Xenopus tropicalis: one gene and its partners. The protein of the gene in region 2 binds, or shares a complex with, the protein of the main gene of each other region. Links are inferred from orthologs where the notes say so. Each region holds a gene or a part of one and is shown on either strand. Other genes may lie near its edges.

Region 1 (4,696 bases), on a different chromosome or scaffold from region 2:
GGAATAAAGGTCCCATCTGCCCTATGGAAGTCATACTTATGGCCGGATTCTGTGATATATAGACCTTTGCTCTGCTCAAACATGATGTTTATTGATCATTTCCGATATTTGTGGGGACCCTATACTCACACTTTCATTAAATTCAGTAGAGTTACAATGTGTAATATTGGGGTGCCAGTATCTATCATCAAGTAGTTGTTGCACGTATGAGGTATATGTGTGTGCACCGCCCTTCCAGATTTTGGTTGTGTTTTGGATCTTTGGCTATTGGACTCTTTGAGCATCGGTATTCATGGGCCCCATACTTAAAAGCTAGCAGGGCCCCCTCAATTATTAGCTCACCAGTCTCTTGTGCTTCCAGGCCTTGTAAACAGGTAAAATGAATCCCCTCACATGCATAGCCACATCCCTAATCCACTGCAATTATATTAAAACTCTCCCCATGATCCACCCAAGTGTCACCCCCTACCATAAGGTTCCCCCACCCCTTTCATGGACCCTGAATAACCCATGAAGCTTTGCTGGGGAGAGCTAAGAAACACAACTGTACAATCTCGCCAACCATTGGCCACTCACGAAGAGTGGATAGCAGTGTAGATAGCAGCACCGAGTGCTTTTCCTCTTTAATGATTTTAATACAGTAGAAATAAATACACGAGGGACCATGGGGTCAGTCCATAACTGAATCACGGAACAGTATCTTGCAGGGGACTGCAGTCCGGCAAGGCTTGCACTTGTCTCCCAAACTTGTTTCATGATCATGAAAGTGACCAGCACTTCAAACACAGAGTTTGTCACACTCCGAGAACAGCCATGCTGCATCTGTTTCTAGTAGGGTGCAAATGTCCGACACGGGAGTCAGATGGGGTGCTGCGTGGATTCAGGGAGCGGGATTCCCAATGCCGAATGTTGGCTCAGTTCTTTGGCTTCTTGCACTTGCTTATCGCTGCAGTAATCCTGCAGGAAGATGGTGGCCAAATTGCTGATCCTGCGGTTGGTGGAAAGGGAGAAGCGCACCATGCACTCCACCACAGCAGGAGCCGTCACTTCAGTGCGGGAGGCGGCCGTGCACAGGAACATGAGTGTGGTCAGCGCCGAAAGCACCGTCTCTTCCCGACGGCTGGACAGGCAATTGATGACCAATTTCAGCCCCCCGGAGTCTAGTATGTGACTCTTGTTAGTCTTGTCCAGGCAGAGATTACAGAGACCCCCTATTGGAAAAGAGAGAATGGTTAAAGGCAAACTAACAATTTCAAAGACATTATGACCTACAGGGGGTTTGATCACAATTGAAATTGAGGACATGTTTTTTAGGGGGGGGGGGGATCCCATAGGAAAGATGGAAAAAAACATATTGCCCAAACCTACAATATCCTTCCGTCCTGCTGGAAGTGGTTAATACAAGATAACTGGGCTTTCACTGCACCCAATGTTTATATTCGCAACACAGGATGTTTATCTGGGTATAAAAGGATCGCACAGAAGTTTGTAGTGAAAACGATAAATATACCAGAGCCGTGTTTGTCAGAGACCAATGACAGGCGAGGGGTTGGGGGGGGTGGTACACGGTGGCCATAGATGGGCTGATAAAACCTACTGATTCTGCCACCCCCCCCTCCAGTGCCAGGTTGCATATTGGGCTTTTCCCAGGGACAGACTGGGACAATGAGAAAAATCCCAGTGGGCCCCACCAACCCAGGCCTGATCCCTGCCAGCAACATCGGCCCTCCACCCTCAGTGAGGGGCCCCCAGTCTGACACTGGCTTTTTTTCAATGGTCCGTCCCACTGTCATCAAGCAGAAAATTTAAGCATCTACCCACTGCCCACCTATAGCCACTTTCACTATACTGTCCATCAACTGGAGATTGGGGCGGAGTCATTATATCAGGGGTGGGCAAACTACGGCCTGCAAGCCATGTCTGGCCCATTGGCCTTTTTAATCCGGTCCGCTGACTCCTGATTGGTCGCTGTAGGTCGCTGGGGGGGGGGGGAGGATGTTTAGGAGGATGCTGAGAAGGATGCTGGGGGGGAGCTGGTGGGAGGATGCTGGAGGGGGGCTGGTGGGAGGATGCTTGGGGGGAGCTGGTGGGAGGATGCTGGGTAGGGACGCTGGGGGGAGCTGGAGGATGCTGGTGGGAGGATGTTGAGGAAGATGCTGGTGGGAGTTGAAGAATGCTGGGGGGGAGCTGGTGGGAGGATGTTGAGGAGGATGCTGGGAAGGACACTGGGGGGAGCTGGAGGATGCTGGTGGGAGGATGTTGAGGAAGATGCTGGGGGGAGTTGAAGGATGCTGAGGGGAGCTGAAGGATGCTGGGGGGGAGCTGGTGGGAGGATGTTGAGCAGGATGCTGGGAAGGACGCTGGGGGAGCTGGAGGATGCTGGGAAGGATGCTGGAGGGGAGCTGGTGGGAGGATGCTGAGGAGGATGCTGGGATAGGATGCTGGGGGGAGCTGGAGGATGCTGGTGGGAAGATGCTGGGGGGAGCTGAGAGGCCTGTGATTTCGGGCCAGCGTTACACTCAGGGCCTCCATCAAGTCAATGTGTCCCCTGAGCTTGGAGGATGCTGGCAAGGACGCTGGGGGGAGCTGGAGGATGCTGGTGGGAGGATGTTGAGGAAGATGCTGGGGGGAGTTGAAGGATGCTGGGGGGGAGCTGGTGGGAGGATGCTGGGATAGGATGCTGGGGGGAGCTGGTGGGAGGATGCTGAGGAGGATGCTGGGGGGAGCTGGAGGATGCTGGTGGGAGGATGCTGGGGGGAGGATGCTGGTGGGAGCTGAGATTATATTGCATTATATTGTGACCCTCCTGCCACACATGGGGGCACATTGTGGGCTCAGCACTTCAGTACATTCTCTCACCCAGGCCAAACTCCACCAGGTTCTCATTGCCCTCAGTCAGCATATCCAGGAACAGGTCCAGCACCTGTAGCTTCCGCAGGTCGGAAAAGTTCCGGGGATCGTAGGCGAAGTTGGCCAGATTGGCCAGGACCTGCTCTTTGGCTTCTGAGCAATTAAGGGGAGAAACTAATGAGAAGAGGAAATGATGCGGAGAGTTGGTACAAAACTACAACCGTAACGAAACTGAATGGGGTTAAATCTCCCCCTCTCTCTCCCTTACCGACACTGTCCGTGTCCTGGAACTCAGTGACCAACGTCTGCAGGTACTGAAACCGCTCCGACTCCCCGTCACCCATCCCCGCTCTCTATCAGCCCGCAGTACCTGCGCTTCCGGGTGGGCGGAAGTGATGTCACCGTACTGGCAGAAGCCTCAAGTCGGGTGCCAGTTCTCGTCCTACTTCCGGGCGGGAAGCGTGAGGGAGGCGCAAAGCGCTGAGGCGGAACTGTAGCGTTAGGGGCAGAATTACCCGGGTAAGTGTGAGGGTGGGAACAATAGAAATAAACAAAATGTCATGCTATGAGTATACTTTTGTATTGAGATTTATATATTTATGATGTATTTTTCTCTTCAGACCCTCTCCTACTCACTCTTCAGGTTGGCAACTTGGTAGCAGGAAATTGGAAAGTGTAGAAGTGCTAAAGTGGCAAAAACCTCAGAGGATAAAAAAATGAAGACTGTGGTACTTATCTGCTGCTCACACAATTCTTACAACTATGGCCCACGGGCCGTATTGGCGCAATACCGTCTGACCCCGCCCCTCCAGACACTCGTTTCAATAGAAAACACGTGACACCCAGGCAACAAAGGCCCAGGCCCGGGGCGGAACAGATTAAGGGCTCTGGCACACGGGGAGATTAGTCACCCGCGACAAAACTCCCTGTTCGTGGGCAACTAATCTCCCCGAGTTGCCTTCCCCTGCCATCCCACTGGCGAAAATGTAAGTGGCCGGTGGGATGGCACACGCGGCAGCGCGATTTAGCGCAAATCGCTGAAAAAGCCTCGCAAGGCAACTTCGGCGATTTGCGTGAAATCGCGCCGCCGCGTGTGCCATCCCACCCGCGACTTACATGTTCGCCGGTGGGATGGCAGGGGAAGGCAACTCGGGGAGATTAGTTGCCCACGAACAGGGAGTTTTGCCGCGGGCGACTAATCTCCCCGTGTGCCAGAGCCCTTAGGGTGGCATGCTGCCCAAGCCGCACTGAAAATTGAACGTTAAATGGAAACACCAAGCTGCAGGGCCAGACTGGGGGTAAAAAGCAGCCCAAATATAAATATGCAATGGCCTTCTACTCTTTATATCGCCACACATGTATATAGGGGTAAAATGGCTATAAATCATGTGCATAAGGAATTGGGATGTTAACACGTCTCTAGTTTGGTATTTCTGCAACTATCTGGTTGCTAGGGTCATATTTAAACTAGCAACCACGTGAGATATGGTACTGAATAACAATAGCCTCTCAGAGCAATAGTTTTTTGGCTGGCTGACTGCCTGAAAGCATAGAGAGGCAGAAAAAGGCAGCAAATAATTTAAAAATAAGTAAAAAAAAAGACCAGTGGCACAGATGCTAAATATAGGGTATTTTATAACTCACTTTTATCCCCCTGGGATTCACAGTGCACACAAACAGAGTCGGACTGGCCCACCAGGATACCAGGAAAACTCCCGGTGGGCCCAGGGGTCAGTGGGCCCTCCTGCTCCTCACCATTTGGCCTATTCATGGTCATTCCCTATTTCTGAATGGGAACAAAGAGAAGAAATAGATGGAAGAATAGATGCTAGCATGTAAATAAAAC
Region 2 (4,089 bases):
TTCCCATAAGTTGCAGGATTACGACTTCCAGTATTCGTCCACATAGAGTCAAGGCATACTAGAAGTTGTAGTTTTGCAACATCTGGGAACCCAAGGTTAAGCAACAGGGATACAGACAAATATTGGGGTAGATAAAAATAGATTTTTCAAACATTTTAATATCACCGCGAGTCTTAGGATAGAAAATAGTGCTCCCTGTATTTGATGGTACTCACCAAAGCTCTTCTTGCAAATGGAAGATTTTTTTGTCTGACTTCAAACTGTGAGTACATCAGCCAGATTTTTGCAAATGTGAACTGTAAAATAAAACTAGATTAACAAGTAGCAGTAAGAGCCCTAATATTTTAAGTTAAAATTCAAGATGGCTGAAGACATAATTAAAACAACAAAATCTCTCACTCCTGTGCAGAGATCATTACTATCACGTGAGGCAGATCAGCATTCACCCCTACCTGGTGTTGTGCACAGCGGCTGAAGAGTGGGCTGTTCTGCCTAGCTACAGGCAAATCCTCAAATTTAGGACTAGAATTTAGTTCGTAAAATGACATAAGGCTCATGGAAAACAAACAATTACAAAGACTCTTACTTTTTTGTGAGGGATTAGTTCTAAGCAGGCCTGGTAGACTTGCCTTGTTCTCTCTGGGTCCTGAAATTCAAAGTATGTAAAAAAACCATTAAAATCTGTCCATTAGCTAAGTGAAAAAAAATTTGGTTTGGTTTAGGGTTATTCCTTTTTTTCCTATAACACGCTGCTTTTATAAAAGGAAATGCAACAGATCCAGTCATAATAATCACACTTTATAAAGTGTATATGATCTATGTTTTTCAGACTGTTTTCTGCATTAAGAGATGTCTGACACACAACTGCCATCTAGCGGGCAAAAATGTGCAGTGTAATTCAATGTAAATATGCAGACAAAGAATGTCTGGTGCGCGCAGGATGCTAGGTTATTACACAGTTACAAGAGTTTCTTGTGGATTACAATTTTTTTCACCTTTGCTTCTAGCTCCTCATACAAGGCATAGTTTATCCACAGATAAATGTATCTCTTCCAGTGTCTCTTCTCCTTTGTAGGTGGGACATTGGCAATAGCCCGTTCATAAACTTCTCGAACTGTGTCAGGATCAGCATCACTTTCAACCAGCCGCAGATAATCAAACCAAGCATCGTAATTATGAGGATTTGCCTGGGGAGAAAGACATTTGTATATTTATCAAGTGATTTCTCCATCTTGTGCCATTTTGTTACCTATTGCTGAATTGCTCTTCTGGCATGAGATGTGACCAACTGCAGCTGTGTTATTCATTACGAACATATTTAAAGCTCATTTCATTGTGTCACAAACATTCGGACAGCACAAGTGTTTGTTACTTCCTATTCTGTTTCTATCCTATACAAAAAATAGTGCAGTGCAGACTAGAAAAACTATGCAAGCTCAAAATAATTTATATACTGTAATATGCAAAGAAATGGAAACTACCCAAGGACTACTGTTCAGGTTATGCCATAAGAAACATGTTAAAAAAACAAAAAAAAACAAAACAGTTTTGTGGTGCCAGTCAGTATTTCTATTTACTGTGGGCCATGTGTGCTAAACTGATCTTTCACATTAAACTTATGGGCAGAGCAGTGTTTGGGTACTGATTTACTATCACCATAAAAGTAATGATAGAGGGGCAAGTCGGTCGGTCACTTTCAAAAGCAATTAACCTGCGGCATGTTGCCAGTCACACACATCAAGAAAAGAAAAATCTGTAGTGTTTGAGGTCAGCTTCTTGACTGCTGGCACTTAAGATTATTTGATCTATGGCAGGCAATCGGTTAAATCTACTTAAAACTATACACACATTGCTCCGTTGCTAGAATAGAGTTCCTAACAACATTATCTAGCAGTAAACAGACTAAAAACAGTTCAAATGCCTAGAACCACCCTAAATTGGTTTAAGTACTATAAGTACGTGTATAGCCTACTTGACCCTGGTCAACTAAATAGCTTTAGTCTTTGCAAGCTTACTCCTAGTTGTGTTTTCTGTGTTGCATAAAATATTGCTCCCTTACCTTTACTTCTTCTTCATACTGGAACCTCCGTTTGTTGACTATAATATCTTCAATACCTCTCCGGTCACCATATTTCTTCTCAAAAATAGTGTAATTCTTGAATAACTCTTGGGCCTGTTGCTTTGATATTCTGTCCAAAGCATATTTATAGATGACACGGACTCTTTCAAACTGTGTAGAGAACAATAAACATGCTGAATAGGATGTAATCCTGTTGGAACTTTAACACAGTTACAGATGTCATCTGCATCTTCTATCACCAGATGACAAACAGCACATCATCATCCCAGGCTGGTCTCCTTGGACCTAAATTACATTCTATTTCACCCGTTTGTTGGGAATGTGGCAGTTTTTAGAATTAAAACAAATTGGAAGAGTAAACACATTTTTATGTAGAGAAACTTGATTTTAAACCTATTCTAATGCAATAAGACAGTAGTAGCTACATCTAACCTCACAGGAAAGGGAGAAGATAAGGAGCTGAAAACAGTTGCTAGGGTCAATTACTGACATATACAGAGCCTTGACAAATTCATTAAATGTGCTCCCATTGATGTCTCCCAATTTAATACAGTTTAAAATAACACAGCTTGGCTAAAGTAAATTAAAACTCACTTCTTTTTGATGCTCTTCAAATTTAGCAAATGAAACATACAGGTTTTCATCCATGTGATCTTCCCCGAAGAATTCCACGGACCTTTCATAAACTTTTCGTGCGTGGGCAATATAACCGTGCTTCTCTTCAAAGCGAGCATATTTGATCCAGTTCTTCACATCAGGGTGCACAATTACAAGTACACAGATGTTAAAGAATCAAATTTTCTGTGATATTTATGTTTTTACTTTGTACAGGTAAGGGATCGCATATCGGAAACCCTTGAACCCTAAATAGGTTTTAGTTGCAATGTTGGCATTATTGTACATCACAGCACCCACTCTAAAGAATTTCTTAACATAGTAACTTATCACATTTATACACAAAGGATATATCTCTCATAAATAGACCTGGCCCGGTCCACCTCTTTGTATCTGAGCTCAAAGTTGATGTAAGAATGCCAAGCTTGCTCCTCAGGTTGCCACTCCATCCAACGTTCAAAAACCTGCCGCGTTCCAGCCACATTTCCGAGCATCTCTTCCATATAGGTATACTTGTACCTTCAAACATCAAAGCACTGTCTTTTATTACTCGAAGGTCAAAACATTTCTTATGCTACAGCACAATCAATTTTCTAAAGGACATAAAATCACGACAGAAACAAGCTACATATTATCTACATTGTACATAGGGATTATCGACCTTAAGTTGCAGCACTCCTATAACACAAAATCCTTTACTAAAAAGTTACCCCCATAACTCCATATATTTCTAATTATTTTTGGTTACCTATATGTATAAATCAGCATAGTCTTTCCTTTGAAAAGTGACAAACCTACCAGAACTGATTGACCCTGGGTAGGGTAGTGATTGCTCTGTCCCAGATATTTCGTGCATGATTAACCTGGCGGCTCTTCATCTCCATCTCTGCATACTTCAGCCATAGTGTAATATTTCTGTAATCCACATCTAAAGCACGTTCGTATATAGACCGTGCCCTAAAAGCAAGAAAAAAAATTCAAATCATTAATAAGCGTAAATTTAATTTTAAGCCATCTATGCCAATTTAATTAAAAAAGTGAATACCTCTGAATTTCCTTTAGACTTTCCTCCCATTGTGCATATTTTATCCAGTTACTAATAACCGTCCTGTTCTTCCTAATGTTATCTTCAAAGGTCTGAAAGAAAGACACCACTTTTAACATTACGACTCTAAATAGAGATAATTATATCCTGTATTTATTGAATTGAGACATCAATTCATTTATGAATGAGACATCATCATGGACACAGGCAGCAGTGAATATCTCAATAATATCCTTAAAAAAAACATTTAGATTACTCTCTGGAAGTTCCGATAGTGTTCATGCATTGTTTTCTAAATTTTTCTGTATGTAATCATGTAAAAAATGTTAACAAAATGTATTTTTATACA
Region 3 (4,728 bases), on a different chromosome or scaffold from region 2:
ATGTTCATCAAATGCAGAAGGTTTCAACTTAAAATGTACAATAGAATGTGACGGATATGAATTCCCAGGCTAATGCCTTCTAGGGCTGATTCTCAGGATATGCACTAGCCGAAATTTAGCTGATCTGTGGGCATCCACTCAGATATGTGTCTGTACCCGGAGCCACTGCGAGTGGATTTCAGCACAGAAATGCATACTCAAGGGTTTCATCAACACAGTGACTTTGGGTGCAGAAACAGAAGGTTGCAAATATGAGTGGAAGCTAAACTGTTCCTTTGCTAACAGAAGCCAGCTATAAGATTAATCAGTCCACAAGTTAGAAAATAAAAGTAAAAAACTGACTGCTGCTATGGGTAATTGCTCATACTTGTGTACTTAAATTAGGCCCAGTATAAGTGAAACTAGCTGTGAGTAAAACTTGCAGTGTTACATAATAAATAATAGTAAGGGAAGAGAGAATAAAATATGGGCAAAAAGGGCCAAAGGAACAACAGACATTTAATGGAAAGGGGTACAACACAATCCAGCAACTGACCTCCAAACCCACAGAACCCAGTCTCCTTGTAATCTTTGCAAATATCTGGCTGGTAATCCCAACGTACTGTGGCTCTGAGGTGCTCTGGGGCACGTATTGGTCCTTTCCTAAAATGATAAAAGTTAAAGTTATCAATGCAGACTAAACTATTAGGATTTAATCACCCAGTTGATTGAAAAGTGAAATGTTTCTAAATTAAAACAGAATGGAAAGTGGGAGGGGTACACGTACCTAACCATGCCAGAGGATGCATTGCCCATAGAGGTATCTTTGGGTTTCACAAACTTCTGGTAGTTGTGGATTCCTCGATAGATCTTGTCATCTTCCTTCCCCTTCAACTCCTGTCAGATTAAAGCAAAATAAATAGTGGGAACTAAACAGAGTGTCATCTATGAAAAGGAGAGTATTACAATATTAAAGAAAGTAAAGTGAAGAGAAAAAAAGCACAGAATTTTTAAAGAAACTGCATGTAAGTCATGCAGAACACTGCATGCTTTACTAACACTTATTGCATTCCTTAGTGATCCCCAACCATTGGCTCGGGGGCAACATGTTGCTCACCAACCCCTTGGATGTTGCTCTCACTGCCCCCAAAGCAGGTGCTCATTTTTGAATTCTTGACTTGGTGGCAAGTTTAGGTTGAATAAAAACAAGATTTGCTAACAAATAAAGCCTCGTAAGCTGATGGTGTGCATAGAGGCTACCTATCTTATTTGGCACCTCCACAAACTTTTATGGCACTTGTGTTGCTCTCCAAGTCTTTTTACATTTGATTGTGGCTCATGAGTAAGAAAGGTTGGGGTTCTCTGCTTTAGTGGTTCTCTCATAGTTTAAGGTGAATATATAATCCACTGCATCACATACTAAATACTCACTTCCTGTACTTTCTGGCTCCTCTCAAAAATTGCCTGAGCATCCTTGTCTTTTTCAGTGTCTAGTTCATATGTAGCTGTGGCTCCCATGTCATCTGGCCCTACTGGTTTCTGCAAGAAACAAAGAATGCATACATAGTAAGAAATGGGGGGTGTCTTAGACATGTCATTCTATAAATACAGATTTTTTTTCAATGCATCATTTATATTGAAACAAGACAGACAGCATAGGCTGATTCACAAACTGAATAAAATATCACAAAGAACTAACTGATGATGGGTTTCAAAGATTTTAACATTTATGACATAAAGCCTGTGCTAAGAATAAGCCAATTCCAAAAGAGTCTCTTACCGCAGATCGGGTAGATTTATAAGACACAGTGATAGACTTCGCTGTTTTGTCCTCATCTTCACTGCTGCTTGCTTTGTAATCTTCACAGTCCTTTGGTTGCTGCCTGCTCTAAATCACACACAGAGGTAAATACAACTACCAGAAAGCTCAAGAGGACAAACACTACACACATCCCTTCTGTGGCATGTTAACGTCTGTCCTGCACACAGGGTGACAGGCTGGAGAGGGTTATGGCATGTGTTGTGCTTCCATTCAGCCATTAGCTGCCAGGAGAAGATGATGTGGTATCTATATCTCTAAACAGAGAGGTCTACAGGAAATATCTGGGAGAAGTGTTGCTGCCCACTCTGAAAGATTAACTGGCAGAAAATTTTATAAAGCTCCTTAATGCTCCTGGGGCCTCAGGGTGACATAGTGAATACCTGTGACTCTAACCTTCTGAATCATGGGATTAACCACATCCTTCTTTATCCTCCTTATCACTGGACCTTTCTCTTCCTCGCTGCTCTCTGCAAACAAATCAGTAAAGGACTGATCAGAATAGTACAACACACTTATACAACAGATGCATCTAAGTACTATTCTGAAATTCGATAAATTTAAGACACCAAATGCATGTGAGCCCAGTGACATAAAGGTATGGGATCCCTTATCCGGAAACCTGTATCCAGAAAGTTCCAAATTACGGATCTCCTATAGTCTCCATTTTAATCAAATAATTCACATTTTTAGAAATGATTTCCTTTTTCTCTGTAATAATAAAACAGTATCTTGTACTTGATTCCCAACTAAGATATAATTAATCCTTATTGGAGACAAAACAATCCTATTCAATATTTAAATGATTTTTAACAAACTAAAGTTATGGAGATCCAAATTACAGAAAGACCCCTTATCAGGAAAACCCCAGGCCCTGAGCATTCTGGATAACAGGTCCCATACCTGTACCAATGAACAGTAAATGAGGCTGTATGTATAATTATATTTGTTGTTGTTAATGTTTTGCAAATACTTTGATGGGTTTGATTTTTGTTTTGTCATTTGGACCTTAATTCCCTGGTACATGCTACTGATTTCTAATGGTAATTATATCCAGCAAACAATACAGCCACCCTCACCTGCATCTCCTTTAAGATAGTGGTTTTGAGTAAGGAACAAAGTCGAATAGTTGGCCAATATACACGTTTGAAAATAAAAGCAAAAACCTTATTGGTTGCTAACAGCAACAACACTTGCGCAATTAGTTGTATCTGCGCTCTCTTCTGCATTTAACTCATTTACTCCATCCCAACACTTTGCTGAATTTTATACACGGTAAGCGTGTAATGCCTATAATACTATATTATAATAAACATTTATTTGCACTCCCACTTTCTCCTTGTCTCACCATTGTCCGATTCTTTGCGTTTCCGTCCCGCGAACTTTCGGGCACTTTTTTTAAACACGAAACTGCAAACTGGTGCGTTAGAGTCCGCCATTATTCCTGTGACGCCAGACTAGCTCCAGATTGCGCGCATTGGCTGAGGCCACTTCCTGTTTAGAAAGCGCACGCAGGCGCATTACCGGGGGGAAGTCGCGTTGCTCCAGTAGCAAGATGGCAGCGCGCAAAGCGAAACGTGTGAGTTCGAGCTTTGCCAAGCAAAGTGATGCCGAGCGCCACGATTTGGATAGCAAACTCGCAGCAGTACTGGGAAGTAGAACCAATGCCAACGCGGTGTTTGATATTCTGGAACATCTGGAGGTGAGTGCCCGCTTTGCAGTGTGCTAGCAAACAGTATAACAGCAGCCCTGACAAAGAAGAACATCTTTTGCACGAAACAGAAACACAACATTTTGTGTGACAGTATGCACGTCTAAACAGTGTGACTGGAAGTATTTTAAAGTTCTTATAACAGGGCTCGGCAACCAGTGATAGAAAAAGACAGATGGGAGATGGCCATTAGGGAAAAAAGGAAATGTGAAAAATTACATTTTTGCAGAGAGAGAGAGCTTTTAGCGAGGGTAACATATCAGATTGCTAAGGTTACCAGCCTACTCAACGTATAATTGATGTTATTATTAATCAGCAAGAAAGATCCTGTCTGAATATTTATTTAGAAAAGACTGCAGCCTACAGACAGGGCCAGGTGGGCAAGGCGTGACAGCGGTGGGCAGAGCTAAGATTGAATGCTCAGGTCTGAAAAGAGTGGAACTGCTGGTACATCAGGCCGAATTGTTGGCAGTCAGAATCAGCACTGGGTGGTGCAGGGAAAACAGAATGGCATGAATACATAGTTGTGGGTAATGGGAGAGGAAAATTCTAGTAGCAACGACAATTCCATGAAAGATTCTTTCTAACCTCTTGTCTTTTCTCATTTGCTTTCCCTATTACCTCCGCTGCCCTTTCATTCAGGACCTTCTGTTTTGATCTCACACTTTTCCTAACTTTCCCCTTTATCCCCCGCAACCTTCTGACTCTCACTTTTCCGATTACCACACATTTTCACCCCCTCCATAAACAGAACAACAAATGTGTTTGCGAGTTTCAGTTCTCCTATATTACGGTATAGAATCAGTCACACAGGAACTGTTCCCTTGTGATTATTGTTTGGTCTGTAACAGCTTGTATATTCCTCCCCATAGTAATCACAGTCTATGTACTCCTGAGAGCAACTTAGAGGTCTTTAAAAATTCTCTAGATACTTGCATGCAAGCTAATGTGTCGTTAAATCTCTTACTTGATAGTGGTTCCCTTCTCGGAACTCTGCCAGCGTCTTCATGTGACAATGCTCCTCTACAGGATTACTGTTCCACCAGCTAGAATTTTCCTTCTCCAATTTGAACCCCCCCCCCCCCCCCCCCCCCCACATATGATCTCTGTGTCCACTGTGCCGCTGCTGCCTCTTCCTGGACACAGGGGTCTTCTAAAGGGAGCTTGAGCCTTGTTGTTCTGTTTTGCACAACTATGTGTTTGTATTGTTAAAACCATG
Region 4 (2,807 bases), on a different chromosome or scaffold from region 2:
TTCTTTGTACTTATCATGGGAATCACCTTTGCTGTTACTCTTTTTGTGAGAGCCACGGTTTTCTTCCATGGCCCTTGAGCTCTCACTTCCCACCCTGGAAAACTTCTCAATTGTCCTGGATCTGTCATAAGGGGAATCCAAACGTTCTTGTTTGTTATGCCTGCTGTTGCCACCCTCTTCCTCTTTCCTCCTGCTTTTGTCTTTTTTTTTCTTCTTATCTAACATGAAAAAACAAAAAACTATCAATTTAGTTTAGCAGAAGAATTAAATACACAGATCAGCTGTAAACAACCAGCAGGACTATAATAATAATGGCAAATGTAAAATTGGAAATTGTAATAAAATATGATAATTTTTCCTGCTACCATCACTAGTTAATGCTGTGAATAAGGCAACAGCATGATAGGTAAAAAAAAGGCCCCAATTTGAAAGGTTAAATGTGCTTAGGTAAATTAAAATATTGTATTCTAGGATACTTCTCCTGTTTAATGAAAACATAACAGTGATTGTATTTTTTTTTGGGGGGGGGGTATAAGCAATCCATCCCTTGCTACTTGTAACGAGTTCACACTATTAGAAAACTACTGATAAAACACCTTTCTTTTTCCTTGGTGGCTCTTCGTCTTCGTCCTGTGAGGATGACACTGGGGATGGCGTTCGTGCCCCACATCCCTTTTCTCTAAGAGATTGTGTAATTTCATCAATGTCTTCTGCATCCTTGGGAGGACGATAATTGGCAACATGATCTACACGGATTGTGCGCCCCTTTACCTGAATAAACAGAATGGTATTCCCAAAGTAAGAATAACTAAAATCCACTTTTCTGGTAACAGGCAAAAAAATGTTTAGGACAAAAACACTGTTGAATAAGTGGCATGGTTGGGGAGTGGTAATATAAGGTTATCAGGTCTTCTTTGCAGGGTTTTTCTCAAATTGTAGCCAAAATCATTAAAATACAGGTAGTGAAATGTCAGGATGCTGGGAAACGGCAGCAGACCTTGAAGCTGTCCCTGTATTTTATATAAAACAATCTTTATGGGGGGGGGAAGTACCATAGGCACAGGTTACCCCAAAGAACCTGGACCACAGAAGCAAAAGCATAAGCAAGAGATGGACAATACAGAAAAAAACATGGAATAAACAATAATAGGAAGAACTCTTTCTAGTGAGCCTATTGAATGATCTTTAGGTGGCTGCTAAAAGCGAAGAAAATATTGTAAACACGAATGGAATCCCTTACATCTATGTGTATCTCTGAGTCCTCAATGATATTGTATTCTAATAAACAATAAAGAGGGACCTCACATGCATAAAAATACATAATGGGTTATGCAGTCATCTGGATAAACTTTAGCCCTATGAGTATTGTAACATGTTATTTGTTACCTTGATGCCATTAAGATTATCCACGGCCAGTACAGTGCTTCTCTGATCCTCAAAACACAAGAAGCAAAAGCCACGGGAACGGCCTGAAGATTTATCACGGACCAGATTAATATTTACCACCTCACCATACCTGAAGAATATTCAACAATTAGGACACAGCCATTGGTAAATTTAAACAAAATGTAGGAAAAACTTTTAAAATATCATAACAAATTATTTTCTCTTCTCTTAAATTTGGGAGGATAGGCACCATGCCTGCAGATGGAAAAAAAAGACACTAAAAAGTAGCTACTACTCCGCTTCCTCTAGGCTTTATCCCCAGCATGCTACCCTCAGATCTTCAGTTTCCTGGACTGAACAAGGGGAGACCCTACACAGAGTCAAATGTTTTACCTCTACCCAAAATAAAACCCAACAACAACAGTAAAACCTAAAATAGAGAACATGCCTAAAAGTATAGGCAACTAACACTGAACAAGAAACCAGAGGAATGGCCTGTTTCCCAAAACCTGATTCGTTTTAGGAAGTGACCAAATCCTATAACTTTACAAAGCATACAGTCAAATCTCAAGTCTGTAGTCAAAAAAAATCCAAATCCTGAAAGTCATGATGTTTTTTTTTTGTTCACAAATGGTGATCTTTTACAAATTTGTATATGCATATTATGATACAGTATGGTATTTGGTTTGTTGTTCTGTTGAGCCTTTTGTAAAGGATTTTGCATTTATGGATTTGATGCATCACTACTAAAATGAAACTAAGGATCTGAGGAAAGAGAGGAGACAGAGCCTAGAGCAGAAAAAGGAGTCACTTTTAATGCTTTCAGGATCTTTATCATCCCATGGTGCCTGTGACTCCAATCTAGAGAACAGAAAAGTGAACTTCTTACCATTCACGATGTCAATGCAAACATCTAGGTTTAGATGAGCCACTGCTCAAAGCAGAACAAACAGTGAAACTCTTCAGGCTCCAATCTTGGGAGACAGAGTCTGAAATCCCCCTACAATTCAGTTTGTTGATTGTCCTGTCTCAAGAAGGTGGGGCAGAGGGTGTGCCCCTGTACTTTATCATGTTATACTAGTTTGTTTAGTTCTTGTTGATTCAACAAGACATTAAATGGGCTTTCCCTAGTGCCTGGTCTAGTGCTAGTGCCTCTCTTTATATATGGCTCATACCCTATACTTACTAAACTGCAGCAAGGCCACACAAGATGAAAGCTTCTCCCAGTCAGTACCTGCTCCTCTTTAGAGCTCTGGATGTTAGCTGCACCTCTTTAATTCTTCTGACCCCCTCTATAGACTGTAAAGGAGGATCACGGGATCCCTTTCCAAACACTCTGCCTGTCAGACTACCTATGGTACTCATCTAAACCCAGACTTCTAGAACCTACTGCAGGAAATACTGCCTGCAAGGACACAACA
Region 5 (4,089 bases), on a different chromosome or scaffold from region 2:
GGCCTTGGTGGCAGAATATACAAAATATGTATCAGACCCACAGTACCTGTATATGTAACTCCAGAGGAACAGGCCTCACGTTGGGATGAAAGTTGAATGTGGAGGTGGCACTGCAACCCAGCCAGTGAGCAACATCCTTGGCATTGGAGAGAGAGGAGCTTAGGGCCACGACACGGATAGGCCTCTCTATCTGGGAGGAGATGTACCGCATTCTGGAACAAATTACCTCAAGAACTGGCTGCAAAGAGAAGGAAATATTGCTTTAGAAATCTCCAATCCTACCCATTTTACATGACTGTTCAGCTTTTAAACTAACTGTAAATGATTGCATTTGTGCAGTTTACAGAGGAGCATTATTAGTGGTTCTGTTGTGTGAGATACCACAGACCCATTCAGTCCATAAAATTTACAACCATTATCACTACACTGCTTTACTTTTACACACAAAGTTACAATGCTTCATCTGTATTACAGTGCAAAGTTAAGCTGGCAACATGCAAAGATCTGCTCGTTTGGCCACCCAAGTGTTTAACCCAACCAGGCTGATCTGATTGGTGAACAATAGTTATAGGATCTCAATAGAGTCCTGTGCATCATATGCATCCATGGCTCAATATAGCCCTTGCCCAACTAAAAAAAGCTGGATTTTGTTTTCACTTACTCCATTGGCTCCCCCGATGAGGTGAGTTTCATCTACAATGAATAGACTGACATTCTGCACATTCTTCCTCTGCTTCCATCGACGGGACAAGATATCCCACTTTTCTGGGGTGCTGATAATAATGTTCCCCTTACCCAAAAGCTTCAGATCAGTGCTGGTCTCACCAGTGAGCAGGACAACCTTCTTATATAACCTGTCCTGGAACTTTTCAAACCAGTCCATGAAAACCTAGATGGACATACATAGGCCAAACTTATTAGTATTCAAAGCATGCAAAAGTGAAGTCAGTTTGTCTAAAACGCCTAAATGCAGCTTTACCCAAGATCCTATTATCCTTCTGGTTTTCACTTTATGATTTTTGGTGAAGTGAACTACCAGTTGGGCATTATACACTGGGGCCCATATTAGGTTCTTATTATGGTGTAGAAAAAATAAAAACCTTAAAGGAACAGTTCGGTGTAAAAATGAAACTGGGTAATATGGATAGACTGTGCAAAATAAAACATGTTTGCAATATAGTTAGCTAGGCAAAAATGTAATCTATAAAGGCTGGAGTGGGCAGATGTCCAACATAATCACCAGAATACTACTTCCTGCTTTCAGCTCTCTAACCTCTTAGTCAGTCAGTGACTTTAGGGGGGGCACATGGGACATAACTGTTGAGTTAGTTTGTGAGCACACAGGTCAGATTCAAATGCAAAATAACTGAACAGTTATGTCCCATATGGCCCCCCCTCAAGTCACTCATTGGTTACTGACCGCTAACAGCTTAGAGAGCTGTAAAGCAGGAAGTAGAGTTCTGGCTATTATGTTAGACATCTGCCCACTCCAACCTTTATGGATGATATTTTTGCCTCACTATATTTTTTATTTTGCGCAGTCCATCTATTTTGTCCATTTTCATTTTTACACTGAACTGTTCCTTTAAGACAGTAAGACAAAGAGTGGATTCAAGAACTAGCTTCAATCTAGTTTACCCAGACTTTAATAAGCAGACTTCATCCAAACCTTTCCCTCTGTATCCCACCAGGGTTACCAAGTGAAGTTTAAAATGGATAAATGGTATCAACCTGACACACTGAACTGATATAAAGTTTCAAACAGATGAACAACCACATATATCAGTCGCTGATACTGGTTAATTCTTCGTTATTAATGCAGAAATGTAGCAATGTAAAGAGACTTGCTGTCTATCAATCAGTCGAACACCCTGCATGGCCAGTTTCCTTTCTTGCCAAGGTAGGTAGGCATACGTTCTCTAGATAAGAAACTGCACATTTCCTAGTGAGCATACAGCACAATTTTTACTAATAAAGAAATAAATGGAAATACAAATCCCTCTTTAACTTTGTTTCTAATTAACTGTGAATATTGAGAGCAGCACTTTATAAAGGAAAAAAAGAACAAAGAATATTTCCGCAGGCAGCAAAAGAACAGTGAAGAGGAGTAAAGCGCTATGATTTCTTTTTTAGCATATATTTACATAAATGAGTCGTGTCTAGCAGCTGACAGCGAGCACTAATGAAAGCACATAAGTAATGGGGTAATGGGACTGTGCTGCAAGCGTGTGTGTGGGAGGGGAATGAGTTAAGTGTGTACCACTTTCTGGAAACAACTTTTAGAACAAATACAAATTGTGCACCCTCCAAAAATATCTAATTACTGCAAAATGTTCAGCACTTGCTGGAACATCTCCCTCTGAGAGGAAAGTTAAGCTGTAAGAGTCTCTGGAGGTAGAGATTGAAGTCACAAGTTATATTCATAGAACAATAGGAATCCACGCTAAAAATTGGAAAAGAACATTACATCCCAGAGGAAGCAAGAAAAACATGTCCAAGTATGGGATCCGTTATCCGGAAAGCTCCAATTTACAGGAAGGCCATCTCCCATAGACTCCACTAATCAAATAATTCAGTTTTTTGTTTTTTTTTTAATTATTTCCTTTTTCTCTGTAATACACAGAACCTTGTACTTGATCGCATCTAAGATATAATTAATCCTTATTTGAGGCAAAACAATCCTATTGGGTTTAATTCATGTTTAAATTATTTTTTTTTAGTAGACTTAAGGTAGGGAGATCCAAATTACAGAAAGATCCCTTAATCTGGAAAACCCCAGATCCTGAGTATTCTGGATAACAGGTCCCATACCTGTACTGAAACACTGGTGAAAAAGTTTTAACAGGATATAAAAATGAGTGATTAGTATAGGGTACAAAGGTCTATGAACAGAGATCACCGTTACTGCAGCTTTATACCTTTACACAACTGTATATGATCTATGAACAATATACGAGCTAAAGGGGTAAAACAAAGTTACCCCCTACTCTATAAGCCTTTATCGATTTCTTGCAGCTTGTATATACGAACATACCTGTTCGGCCAGAGCTTCCATAGGAGTTATATAAACACAGCGGCCCTCGGAATTCTGAAGCAGCATTCTGAGTATGGCAAATTCTGCACAAATGGTTTTCCCGCTTCCTGTGGGAGCTCCCACAAAGACATTATCATCACTGTTGTATATTGTGTTGAAAACTGTGGGGGGAAAAAAACAAGGACGGGGGAGATTTATATTTAATACAGTTCTACCAGTGTAGGGTGTATGTTTGCTCCAGAAACACTACTTAGTTAATATAATTAAGCAGCTGTGTTACAGCTACTGGGCTACAGGGCACACATTTAAATACAAGACAACAGTTTTAAAGCAATATCCCGGGAAACAAAAGTTACCCAACTGACAGCCAGCACAATGAGTGGTACAAATATTCCCTAAGATGCTCGTTCATTTTATAAAAAGTACAATTTTAACATGTACTTTATTTTTTTAAAACTGCCCTGAGGCATCACAACAAGTAAAGTTGCTGACTTCAGCATCTGTCAGTTACAGGCTGCTCACTCATGTCTCAACTAACTCAATGATCAGATATAGAAAACTACTGCTAAAATGTAAATAAGGCAGTCTAAAGAGGGGGACAATGTCCTCTCACCTTGGGTCTGGATAGGGTTAAAGAAAGGAAATTTATCCTGGTATAAGCTCTCAAATGCACTGTTCCTAAGGGCAGAAACTGGCAGTGGTTGTAGATCCAGCAGCTCAGTAGGCGGTGGGTATTTTTCGGGAAGAATCAGATGGCGGAAAGAGACTGGGAGTTGAGTTTCACAAGCTGCCAACAGGCGAAAAAAAGAAAAACAAATTTGTAGACAATTTGCCGGTTCTTCAACATTGCTCCATTTTGACATAGAGAGACAAGATTTCCAATGGTAGTTGCTTTTGTTTGATTAATAGACACAGTAAAAGGATAACTTAGTTTACAGTATGCACGTAATGTGTTATCTATTGTGCAAAAGGGTTACATATGAATTAGAGCAGCTATCAATCATATAAGAAAACAATGTATAACAAAAAGGTAAAGGACCTATTATCCAGAACAC
Region 6 (4,631 bases), on a different chromosome or scaffold from region 2:
CATTTGCACCAGGAGGAGGAGGAAGGGGCATATTAACAACTGTTATAAATGAAAGCTAAACTCGCTCCAAAGCTTCCAGCATTATAATGCTGTTCCCTCGAATTACCTGTAAAGCAAAAAAAGAAAGGTTAACCACATATATCACCCCTTAATAAATGCAACAAATTCTAATAAGTCTTTTATGAAGGATTCAGGGTTCGGTTGAATCCAAAAATAGTGGATTCAGTACATCCCTAGTGAACACAGAAATCCCACAATGCTGGGCTTAATGGCAATTAACTTAAATGCATGTGGTACATAGCACTGATGTATGTAGCCATGCACTGTGCATATAATAAAACAATGAACTCATCCTACCCAGAAAACATGGGCTAGATCCCTCTCTTTAAACTGGCCATCTTTAAAGTACTAAAGCTGCTCAGCCGATTAGTCATTATTTAATCTGAACTTCACAGAAGCCAATACACTTTGCAATATTAGCTGCTAATAATCTGACCATATTCCACTAAATGCAGCCATACATGCTCAGATTTTGTAGTCTCACGACTGATTTCAGGACAAACTGTATAGCTGGTAGTGTACAAACAATTCTAGATGTAAGAATTTACTAATTGGCCCAACATTCTTAAAAATATCAGTTGGGCAACGATAAGAGTTGGTGTGAAAGTTGTCGTTGAACAGTCGCTTTCTGTGCATATATTGGCAGTACCTGCAGAAGTCAACGAACGCATATGACAAGACCCAAATGTTTGTTGCCAACCCTACATTTTAACCACATAAACACTATGAAAAGTCATGTGCATGCTGTTGGTAAATATAAATACAGGCAAAAGAATACCTTGCTGCAATACCAGCAAGCCAAGGCAACCAGCCACATTACAAACAAGCAGAACTCATTCGTTCACTTGTTGTAATAGCAAATAGCATACCAATATCGATAAAAATTGATGAAAAATACATCACTTCCTGTTTATACTGCTTCCGCCACAAGCTGATATAGCATTGTAGATGCACAATATTACTTTACCTTTTGGCAACAAAATGACGACATCTTTAACGTGCTACTTCTCTGTGGATAACATTGTATGATTAAATGCCATTTGTAAATGTAATTGCTATTGAAAGCAGCATTTGCCGAACTCCTGGTGGTTACTTTTTAAACAATGTTGCAAAAGTCAGTCTCCTTCCCCAAGTCAGGTCTGTCAGTTGGCTGCCTTGTGTTACATTGTTTCAAATGCCAGAGCCACCAGGGCAGAGAATAGAAAAGGACAGACAAACACTGCTTCTAATAGCAATTATATATACAAATAACTCAAAAACCATTACAAATTTGTAATAAATGTATATTGCAAAGCTGAGAATTCTGTTTTCTTTTATTAGGCAAAAAATTATATTTTGCGTTGCGTTGTCCTCAAATGTTAGTTTAAAAATTGGAAAATCTGACCATGAACGGCCACCCTAAATTACACACACAGTAAGGGACCATACAATATATGTTGCAGCTCAGTCTAACACTTACCACCATTCCAATGGTGTTTTGGTGGCCACCCCCTGATATCTCTGTGCACTCATCTATTACAAGGTTCATGAAGGGATCAAAGCCACGCAGAATCCCCTGGACATGTCTCCCACCATTTAACTTCACTGAAAGAAAGAAAAGAAAGGAAATTTGATCAGATGCTTCAAGGTTTTGGTGGTTTACTGGTTTGGGGAGTCACCTGGTACAGTTCCCTTATAACTGCATATATTTATATAGAGTGAGGAACAGCAGTCCTGTATCCTGAATAAATCCTTCATTGCACCATCTCTCTGCTGCTTCTTATTCTAAATAACACTGTTATTTGGCCAAGCACCTGAATAAGGTCCGAGCACAGACCTCATCATATATATTTTTATTTTTTAAAAGAAAACTATACCCCCAGAACGAATACTTAACCAACAGATAGTTTATATTTTGTTAAGTGGCCTATTAAAGAATATTGTCAAACTGGAATATATATTAGTAAATATTGCCCTTTTACATCCTTTCCCTTGAGCCACCATTTAGTGATGGGCTGTGTGCTCCCTCAGAGATCAGCTGACAGGAAATAATGCAGCTCTGACTGTAACAGGGAGTAGTGTGGGAGCAAAAGGCAGAACTCTGCCCATTCATTGGCTGATGGGGCCTAACATGTATGTGTGTCTTGGCTTGTTTGTGTGCACTGTGAATCCTATGATCCCAGGGGGTGGCCCTTAATTCATAAAATGGCAATTTCCTATTTAGTACCACCCGATAGCACATACTACTAAAAAAATAATATTTTTAAGAAAATGGTTTATTTAGATTAATTTAGTTTTACATATGAGCTTGTTTATGAAACATTTTTATAGAGACCTACATTGTTTGGGGGGTATAGTTTTCCTTTATTTTTTTTTCTTTTTACAAGTAGATGGAAAATTTTTCAATACTTACAAGACAGTTTCTTGTCCATGAACCTAAAAGTAAAAAGTACACAACATTTAAATACATTATATTATAATAATAACTCAACAAGACCTAATCACCTGTGCTCAGATCACTAGACTAGGGACCCAAGAGAAGCCAATGCAGTTCCCTTATAGGGTTAGTATCAGGCATAAGAGCTACTTCACTCTTCCCAGAGATCCATGTGCACATTATGAAATACTAGAATCCTTAATGAATCCTATGACTGCGACTGATGTAGTTGGCCAGCTTGGAGTATATTGCAATATATGGGCAATCAATCAGTTTGACCACAAAATATAATTGGAAGATATGTGGGAATCGAAAAGATCCCCATTTCTTTCTGTGTGAATGATGTGGTTGCAGCCTCCATGCTCCAAAACGGGCCATTCAACATGAAACAGCGCAATGGAGGCTGCAGGTTTGGGTGTATGTTCCCCGGCTACAGCCTAAGCCGCCCCTCCGCTCTGCCCCTCACTTGCCCTCCGCTCTGCCCCTCACTGCCCCCTCCGCTCTGCCCCTCACTTGCCCCCTCCGCTCTGCCCCTCACTTGCCCCCTCCGCTCTGCCCCTCACTTGCCCCCTCCGCTCTGCCCCTCACTGCCCCCCCCCGGGCCGTTCCTTACTTCTTCAGCTCGGGCGGGTGCGCTTTGCTCATTTTCGTTCCTCGTGTACAAAGCCCCGGTCGCTGCCGCCAAGTAACGCAGTCGCCTTAATGTGACGTAAGCACGTCTTACGTGTATGCGCTTCCCCGCCCACCCCCACGGTCGCTATGACGACCACCAAAGAATACAAAGGAGACGCGTTAGCCGGCTTTAGTTGGGCTAAATATAACATTGTGTATCAAATATTAAAGTATATAAGAAATATTGCAAATTTGATTACATATATACGTTTTCCCTGATTGGTTATAGAAGAATTTAACAAAAACTTGGGGCTATGGAAGCTAGTCGGTCAGCTTAGATGTCTGCCGCAAAACAACGTAGATGCCGTAGAGTTAGAGTAAGGGCAAGCCGTAACCGGAAGGGTATGTGTAAGGGCGGAAGAGAGGTGCGTTGCCCTTGGAGCACACGCTTGTCAGACATGGCAGAGGAACAGCAGAACCGGCTTCAAAATGCGATAGACACTATGGTGAAGAGCTTGGAAAGGGACAACATTAGGAAAATGCAGGTACCATAGTCTGGTGTAATTAGTCTTATGTCATAGGGCGTTACAGCCCATCTTCCATTACTTCTTTTATTATACTCTGCTGCCATTCAAAGTCCCCCTGGGGTAGCACTCCCATGCACTTGAATGGAAGGGGCACAAATGCCTGGGGGTCCAATAGGAATTGGTCATTTTTAATGTACAGGACTAATGGCTGTGGGATGCCTTATATACCAGGTTTTACTTGTCCTTTAATATAACATACTAGTTTTCCTGCTACATTTGCTTAGCACAGGGACTTATCTTTCTGTTCAGGTTTCTGTTCCTTACCATTAAACCGCAAGTACTGTTGCTGCAAACTTCATCAGAAATGGGTAGGGCAAAAAGAAACTGGGGCAAAAAGAAACTGGGGCAAAAAGAAACTGGGGGAAAAAGAAACTGGGGGAAAAAGAAACTGGGGCAAAAAGAAACTGGGGGAAAAAGAAACTGGGGCAAAAAGTTCAAATGAGTAAAACTTATGTTTGAAAGCCACAGTGTGGCCCAAGCCTCTTAGCAAAGGAAATCTATACCCCAGACAATGTAGGTCTCTATAAAAATATATTGCATAAACAGCTCAGATGTAAAACCCTGCATCTTCTAAATAAATTGCATGAAAATATACTTCTTTTAGTAGCACGTGCTATTGGGTAATCCTACATAGAAAATTGCCATTTTATATATTAAGGGCCTCCTGCTATTGTAGCACACAAACACACCAAGGGCATGCACTGAATCCGGGATTCGGTGCAGGATTAAGTCTAATCCAAGGTCCTGGCCGAACCAAATCCGAATTTTTAAAAACACCTGTCTTTTTGTCACACTCTGCGTGGGGTTCTCTTTAACCCTTACTTGCCTTAATTTGTATGTACAAATTTGGTTTGGAATTCGGTCAAATCTTTAACAAAGGATCCAGGGTTCGGCCAAATCTGAAAATAGTGAATTTGGTGCATCCCTATATACATATATTTTAATGTTGAAATTGT
Region 7 (4,748 bases), on a different chromosome or scaffold from region 2:
CATATACGGCCGCCCATGACGTTAAGAGTGGGATTCCACTTCTTTTAATAATGTGAAATGTCTTTCTACAATGCATAACATTTATTAAAACAAAGTGCATAAGGGGTTGTGAAATAGATTACCCAATTTAAAAAGGGAAGAAGAAGGGGGAAATCAATAGAAAATCAAATCTATGACCCAATAGAAGCAAAAAATAATAAATTATTGCCTGCCACTGTTGGTTTTCTCTTTGGTTGCAAGGATCAGCTTAGCAAGGCATCATTATCAACGGTTTTCTAAAGTTCTGAAGTAATCTGGCTTTTATTGCAAGTGTGTGTTTCTGTTTGCAACGTTACCTTCTAAACAAAGCTGTACAAAGTTTCGGCATGCTCTTGGTGCCTCTTTTGACCACAATTCAATGTCAATCTCTCCAGCAGTTGTTTTCAGCAAAACCTGGAAAAGTGGTAGTAAAAATTATTATTTGGGCAGGATTTCTTCCTCTTCTTGCTGCCTTTGTCTTTCACGTGTGGCATATAGTATGACACAAGTTCACACAGGACATCCTACCCTACCCGTGAGCATTATTTAAATATAAAAAAGTTGGGGAGTAACACAAGCACGAAAAAGTTTTCTAGGGGTTACAATGAGGACTGTGACTGGTTATTAGGTAGCCCAACGTGGATGGGCAGACTACAGGAGGCTCAGTTTGGCAGTACACATGGTCTTTATGCCCCCAAAATTTGCATCCAAGCCAGAGGCTACTGGGAGCAACTTCCAAGGGGTTGGGGAGCAACATGTTCCTTGCAAGCCACTGGTTGGGGCTCACTGCTGTAGACCTTCTTTACCTCTTACATGGAACTAGATATATAATTATCACAGCGTAGTTCAGGAGATACTTATGGGTACATCATATAGAAAGAAATGGGATGACATTGAGCAACAATATGGAGGTGAGCAAGTTGATGGCAGTGGATGTGATCTACTTGGACTTTGCTAAAGCATTTAGCAGTACTGCACAGAAAGTTAATGGTAAAATTTGGCCTGGAACATAGTGCTGGGCGGTATGACCAAAAATTTATATCACGGTATTTTTTTTATTATATCGGTATCACGGTATTTGACGGTATTTTTTTTTCCCCATGCATGATTAGGTGACCACCCCAAACACCCCCCCCCCCCCAATTTTTCTTACTATTTCCGGGTTGCACGCGCGACGTCAGCGCGCACAACCCGGAAATAGTAAGAAAAATTGCCAGGAGGCGCCCACACCGGTATGCCGGTAAGTTAAAAATTTTTATCATTTTTTTTTTAAAAAAATGGTGTTCGGTATATACCGGTATACCGCCCAGCACTACTGGAACATAATATTTTAAATTGGATAAATAAATGATTGAAGGATAGATTACAGTGTAGAGAGAGGTGGTAAATAGAACATTTTCTAATTGGGCCAGTGTTGTTAGTGGAGTACCGCAGGGGTCAGTCCTTGGTCCTTTGCTTTTTAACTTGTTTATTAATGACCTGGAGGTGGACATTGAAAGTACTGTTTCTATTTTTGCTGATGATACTAAATTGTGCAAAACTATAAGTTCCATGCAGGATGCTGCCGCTTTGCAGAGCTGACAAAGCTGGAAAACTGGGCAGCAAATAAGGTTTAATGTTGAAAACTGCAAAGTTATGCACTTGGGTAGAAATAATATAATAATGTAATAATATTACACACTAAATAGTAGTGTGTTGTGGGGATCCTTAATAAAGAAGTATCTGGTTTTTTTTGTAGATAACAAGTTGTCTAATTCTAGGCAGTGTCATTCTGTGGCTACAATAAAGTGCTTAAAAAAAGGGCATTGACTCAAGGGATGAAAACATAATTTTGCCCCTTTATAGGTCCCTGGTAAGGCCTCACCCTGAGTATGCAGTGCAGTTTTGGGCTCCAGTCCTTAAGAAGGATATTAATGAGCTGGAGAAAGTGCAGAGACTGCAACTAAACTGGTAAAGGGGATGGAAGGGTTAAACTATGGGGTTAGACTGTCAGGGTTGGGGTTGTTTTCTCTGGAAAAGAGGCGCTTGCGAGGGGACATGATTACTCTGTACAAGTACATTAGAGGGGAATATAGGCAGATGGGGGGGTTCTTTTTTTCCCATAAAAACAACCACCACACCAGAGGCCCCCCCTTAGGAACGGAGCTTCCATTTGAAGCAGCGTAGGGGGTTCCTCACGCCCCGGGGAGGGCAGTGAGGTTGGGGAATGCCCTTCCTAGTGATGTGGTAATGGCAGACTCTGTTAATGCCTATAAGAGGGGCCTGGATGAGTTCTTGAACAAGCAGAATATCCAAGGCTATTGTGATACTAATATCTACAGTTAGTATTGATGTTGGTATATATAGTTTAGGTATGTTAGTTTGGTATATAGCCTATATATGTGGCTGGGGTTCGCCTGGAGCCCATTCATGTAACTAAAGGACAGCCTGCACTGGTGCATTTGGGCACCTTCCTAGCAGGACATTAGTTAGTCAGCTCAGAAGCTCTGTCCTAGGGCTGAATATGCAGGAGGAGTCTCCATAAAGCGCAGCACAGTCCTCTCTGCTCCCCATGTGGATTATACCAATGTGCTGACAGCTGGGGGGGGCAGCTACATGACGCGAAACTAAAACATTTACCCTGGGAAATGTATTTTCACAGAAAAACATTGAGTAAATTTACTTATAGACTTTACATTTCCTTTATCAGGTACCGCGCTGGGAGAGATATTTCAGCAACAGCAGATGGGAATCCCATGCTAAATATTATTCCTTTATCCTTCTGCCCTACAAGCCCCTTACTTTCTCCCGCTGCTCACCTTGCCGTTTGTCGGCGGCTCCTGAATGTAAATATTGCTCATTGTTACTCAGCTTCTTGCAAACAAACTCCAGCGTGCAACCTGACAGGACGGGACCGCCCACATACAGCCTCAGAGGGGTGCCAGAGAAGATTCTGATTTAAAAATGACACAGCAAAGAGCGTTAACAGGACTCGTCCCATCCACAGTTATATAGTAGCTCGTATTTTGTTACCCGAATGCTCCAAGATCACAGCGTCTACAGCAGAGGATGATTACACCAGAGTTGCATTGCTTTAGTTCCCCCCTTTCTCTTAGTGTGGCCGAAAGTACACTTCCCGGAAACCAGAGCTTTCATTTGCGTTCCACTGCGCACCGCTTATTCTGTTCCGCTGAGAAACAAGTCCATGCTGTGATTGAGTTCCGAGGAAGTGAATTGGTTAGGAGGCGCGCAGTAACTGTTTGAGGGGTGCGATCTTCTGTGTACGGACGCTGAGAATTGTGACTTATGGCTGTCCCAGGTTAGTCTGATTTATAAATCACGTTTTTTACCTCACCTGATCCATCTGATTTTGATAGAGAGGACTTTTATAATACAGGCTCGAGTCTGAACTCGACATGTGTAAAGTCTCTGCAAAGTGCATTATGTTGTACTGTACACTGTACGCACACAACCCAACTCCCCAACCCAATTAGTTTTATCCCCCGCTATTTTATGCCCGAGTCCCCAAAATACGTAGGACATCATTTTTTTCTGCTTTTGAAGGGGTGGTTCACCTTCAGTTAAACTTTAAGTATGTTATAGAATAGCCTGTTTTGAGCAACTTTTCAACTAGTCTTCATTTTATATTTTCGGTTGTTTCTGCCTTTGTCTTCAGGCTCTTAAGGTCCCCATACACGGGCCGATAGAAGCTGCCGATATTGGTCCCTTGGACCGACTCGGCAGCTTATCGGCCCGTGCAGGGGCAGAAACGATCGGACTGGCCGACCGATATCTGGCCTGAAATTGGCCAGATATCGGTCGGCCAGGTTAGAAAATCCTGTCAGACCGGGGACCGCATCGGCTCGTTGATGTGGTCCCCGAACCGACTGCCCCATTGCTGCTTGCAGAATTCGATCGTTTGGCCCCAGGGCCAAACGATCGAATTCACCGAAATTCCTCCCCGATATCGCCACCCGTAGGTGGTGATATCGGGTGAAGATCCGCTCGCTTGGCGACATCGCCAAGCGAGCGGATCTGCCCGTGTATGGCCAGCTTTAGGCTAAGAACCCACCGAGCGAGTTACTTGCCCACAATATCGCATGCGAGTAGCTGCTCCAAAAAGGACTACTCACGCAGAGTTGCCTGCAGGAGGAAACTTTGTGCAACTTCGGAACACGAAACGATACAAAGGGCTTTCCACCAGCGACTTCTATTGTTACCTGTGGAAAGCCTTTTCGAAGCAGTTACTCACATGTGATAGATCTCTCCTAACTCACTCAGTGGGTTTGTACCCTTAGGGCTCTAGTACATGGGGAGATTAGTCGCCCGCGACAAATCTCCCGTGTTGCGGGCGACTAATCTCCCCATGTACCAGAGCCCTTAGGGTGAAGACACATGGAGCTAATAGTAGCTGCTACTTGTAGTAGACAATGCTGATCATTTACTGATAACAGCAGGGCTGTGGAGTCGGAGTCGAGGAGTCGGAGGCAATTTTGGGTACCTGGAGTCGGAGTCGGCAAAAAATGAACCGACTCCGACTCCTACTAAATTTAAATGGGAATAAAAAAAAAAAAATAAAGCAAGTTTAAATGTCCCAATTCACAAACAGTCATAATTAATTACTTCTCTGCTATAAGAATAAAGCCCAATGCACGCAGTGCATAAACTAACACGTTGAGTGACCATGAAGCATGCTTTTCACTGACTGTATGAATGTATAAAATACATTCGCATATTAAAAACAGAGGAGT

Evidence for each region.
Region 1: crnkl1 (region 2) and armc7 share a complex: the UniProt entries of both Homo sapiens proteins name them as parts of the minor spliceosome. The link is inferred for Xenopus tropicalis from reciprocal best matches to the Homo sapiens genes CRNKL1 and ARMC7.
Region 3: crnkl1 (region 2) and rnf113a share a complex: the UniProt entries of both Homo sapiens proteins name them as parts of the minor spliceosome. The link is inferred for Xenopus tropicalis from reciprocal best matches to the Homo sapiens genes CRNKL1 and RNF113A.
Region 4: crnkl1 (region 2) and rbmx2 share a complex: the UniProt entries of both Homo sapiens proteins name them as parts of the minor spliceosome. The link is inferred for Xenopus tropicalis from reciprocal best matches to the Homo sapiens genes CRNKL1 and RBMX2.
Region 5: crnkl1 (region 2) and snrnp200 share a complex: the UniProt entries of both Homo sapiens proteins name them as parts of the minor spliceosome. The link is inferred for Xenopus tropicalis from reciprocal best matches to the Homo sapiens genes CRNKL1 and SNRNP200.
Region 6: crnkl1 (region 2) and snrpg share a complex: the UniProt entries of both Homo sapiens proteins name them as parts of the minor spliceosome. The link is inferred for Xenopus tropicalis from reciprocal best matches to the Homo sapiens genes CRNKL1 and SNRPG.
Region 7: crnkl1 (region 2) and cwc27 share a complex: the UniProt entries of both Homo sapiens proteins name them as parts of the minor spliceosome. The link is inferred for Xenopus tropicalis from reciprocal best matches to the Homo sapiens genes CRNKL1 and CWC27.

The regions. Positions count from the first base shown.
Region 1 is NC_030686.2:44,366,131-44,370,826, reverse strand, and holds armc7 (armadillo repeat-containing protein 7), read right to left. Parts: upstream 3,267-4,696; 5' UTR 3,195-3,266; coding exon 3,119-3,194; intron 3,115-3,118; exon of another isoform or gene 3,025-3,114; coding exon 2,860-3,024; intron 1,212-2,859; coding exon 859-1,211; 3' UTR 257-858; downstream 1-256. UniProt on the Homo sapiens protein: As a component of the minor spliceosome, involved in the splicing of U12-type introns in pre-mRNAs.
Region 2 is NC_030681.2:36,930,393-36,934,481, reverse strand, and holds part of crnkl1 (crooked neck-like protein 1), read right to left. Parts: intron 3,833-4,089; coding exon 3,741-3,832; intron 3,653-3,740; coding exon 3,494-3,652; intron 3,215-3,493; coding exon 3,048-3,214; intron 2,854-3,047; coding exon 2,675-2,853; intron 2,231-2,674; coding exon 2,060-2,230; intron 1,188-2,059; coding exon 996-1,187; intron 647-995; coding exon 587-646; intron 297-586; coding exon 216-296; intron 1-215. UniProt on the Homo sapiens protein: Involved in pre-mRNA splicing process. As a component of the minor spliceosome, involved in the splicing of U12-type introns in pre-mRNAs.
Region 3 is NC_030677.2:156,458,223-156,462,950, reverse strand, and holds the start of rnf113a (RING finger protein 113A), read right to left. Parts: upstream 3,256-4,728; 5' UTR 3,238-3,255; coding exon 3,147-3,237; intron 2,269-3,146; coding exon 2,195-2,268; intron 1,868-2,194; coding exon 1,760-1,867; intron 1,519-1,759; coding exon 1,411-1,518; intron 877-1,410; coding exon 767-876; intron 643-766; coding exon 536-642; intron 1-535. Other genes in the region: noc4l (nucleolar complex protein 4 homolog), read left to right, coding at 3,354-3,500. UniProt on the Homo sapiens protein: Required for pre-mRNA splicing as component of the spliceosome. As a component of the minor spliceosome, involved in the splicing of U12-type introns in pre-mRNAs. E3 ubiquitin-protein ligase that catalyzes the transfer of ubiquitin onto target proteins.
Region 4 is NC_030684.2:38,934,925-38,937,731, forward strand, and holds part of rbmx2 (RNA-binding motif protein, X-linked 2), read right to left. Parts: intron 1,517-2,807; coding exon 1,387-1,516; intron 772-1,386; coding exon 597-771; intron 219-596; coding exon 1-218. UniProt on the Homo sapiens protein: Involved in pre-mRNA splicing as component of the activated spliceosome. As a component of the minor spliceosome, involved in the splicing of U12-type introns in pre-mRNAs.
Region 5 is NC_030679.2:125,082,572-125,086,660, forward strand, and holds part of snrnp200 (U5 small nuclear ribonucleoprotein 200 kDa helicase), read right to left. Parts: intron 3,822-4,089; coding exon 3,648-3,821; intron 3,196-3,647; coding exon 3,035-3,195; intron 890-3,034; coding exon 662-889; intron 239-661; coding exon 47-238; intron 1-46. UniProt on the Homo sapiens protein: Catalyzes the ATP-dependent unwinding of U4/U6 RNA duplices, an essential step in the assembly of a catalytically active spliceosome. Plays a role in pre-mRNA splicing as a core component of precatalytic, catalytic and postcatalytic spliceosomal complexes.
Region 6 is NC_030679.2:122,085,547-122,090,177, forward strand, and holds the start of snrpg (small nuclear ribonucleoprotein G), read right to left. Parts: upstream 3,149-4,631; 5' UTR 3,122-3,148; coding exon 3,090-3,121; intron 2,476-3,089; coding exon 2,453-2,475; intron 1,645-2,452; coding exon 1,520-1,644; intron 107-1,519; coding exon 56-106; 3' UTR 1-55. Other genes in the region: protein FAM136A, read left to right, coding at 3,547-3,633. UniProt on the Homo sapiens protein: Plays a role in pre-mRNA splicing as a core component of the spliceosomal U1, U2, U4 and U5 small nuclear ribonucleoproteins (snRNPs), the building blocks of the spliceosome.
Region 7 is NC_030677.2:188,226,071-188,230,818, forward strand, and holds the start of cwc27 (spliceosome-associated protein CWC27 homolog), read right to left. Parts: upstream 3,123-4,748; 5' UTR 3,031-3,122; intron 2,951-3,030; 5' UTR 2,859-2,950; coding exon 2,817-2,858; intron 433-2,816; coding exon 336-432; intron 1-335. Other genes in the region: protein SREK1IP1, read left to right, coding at 3,304-3,316. UniProt on the Homo sapiens protein: As part of the spliceosome, plays a role in pre-mRNA splicing. Probable inactive PPIase with no peptidyl-prolyl cis-trans isomerase activity. As a component of the minor spliceosome, involved in the splicing of U12-type introns in pre-mRNAs.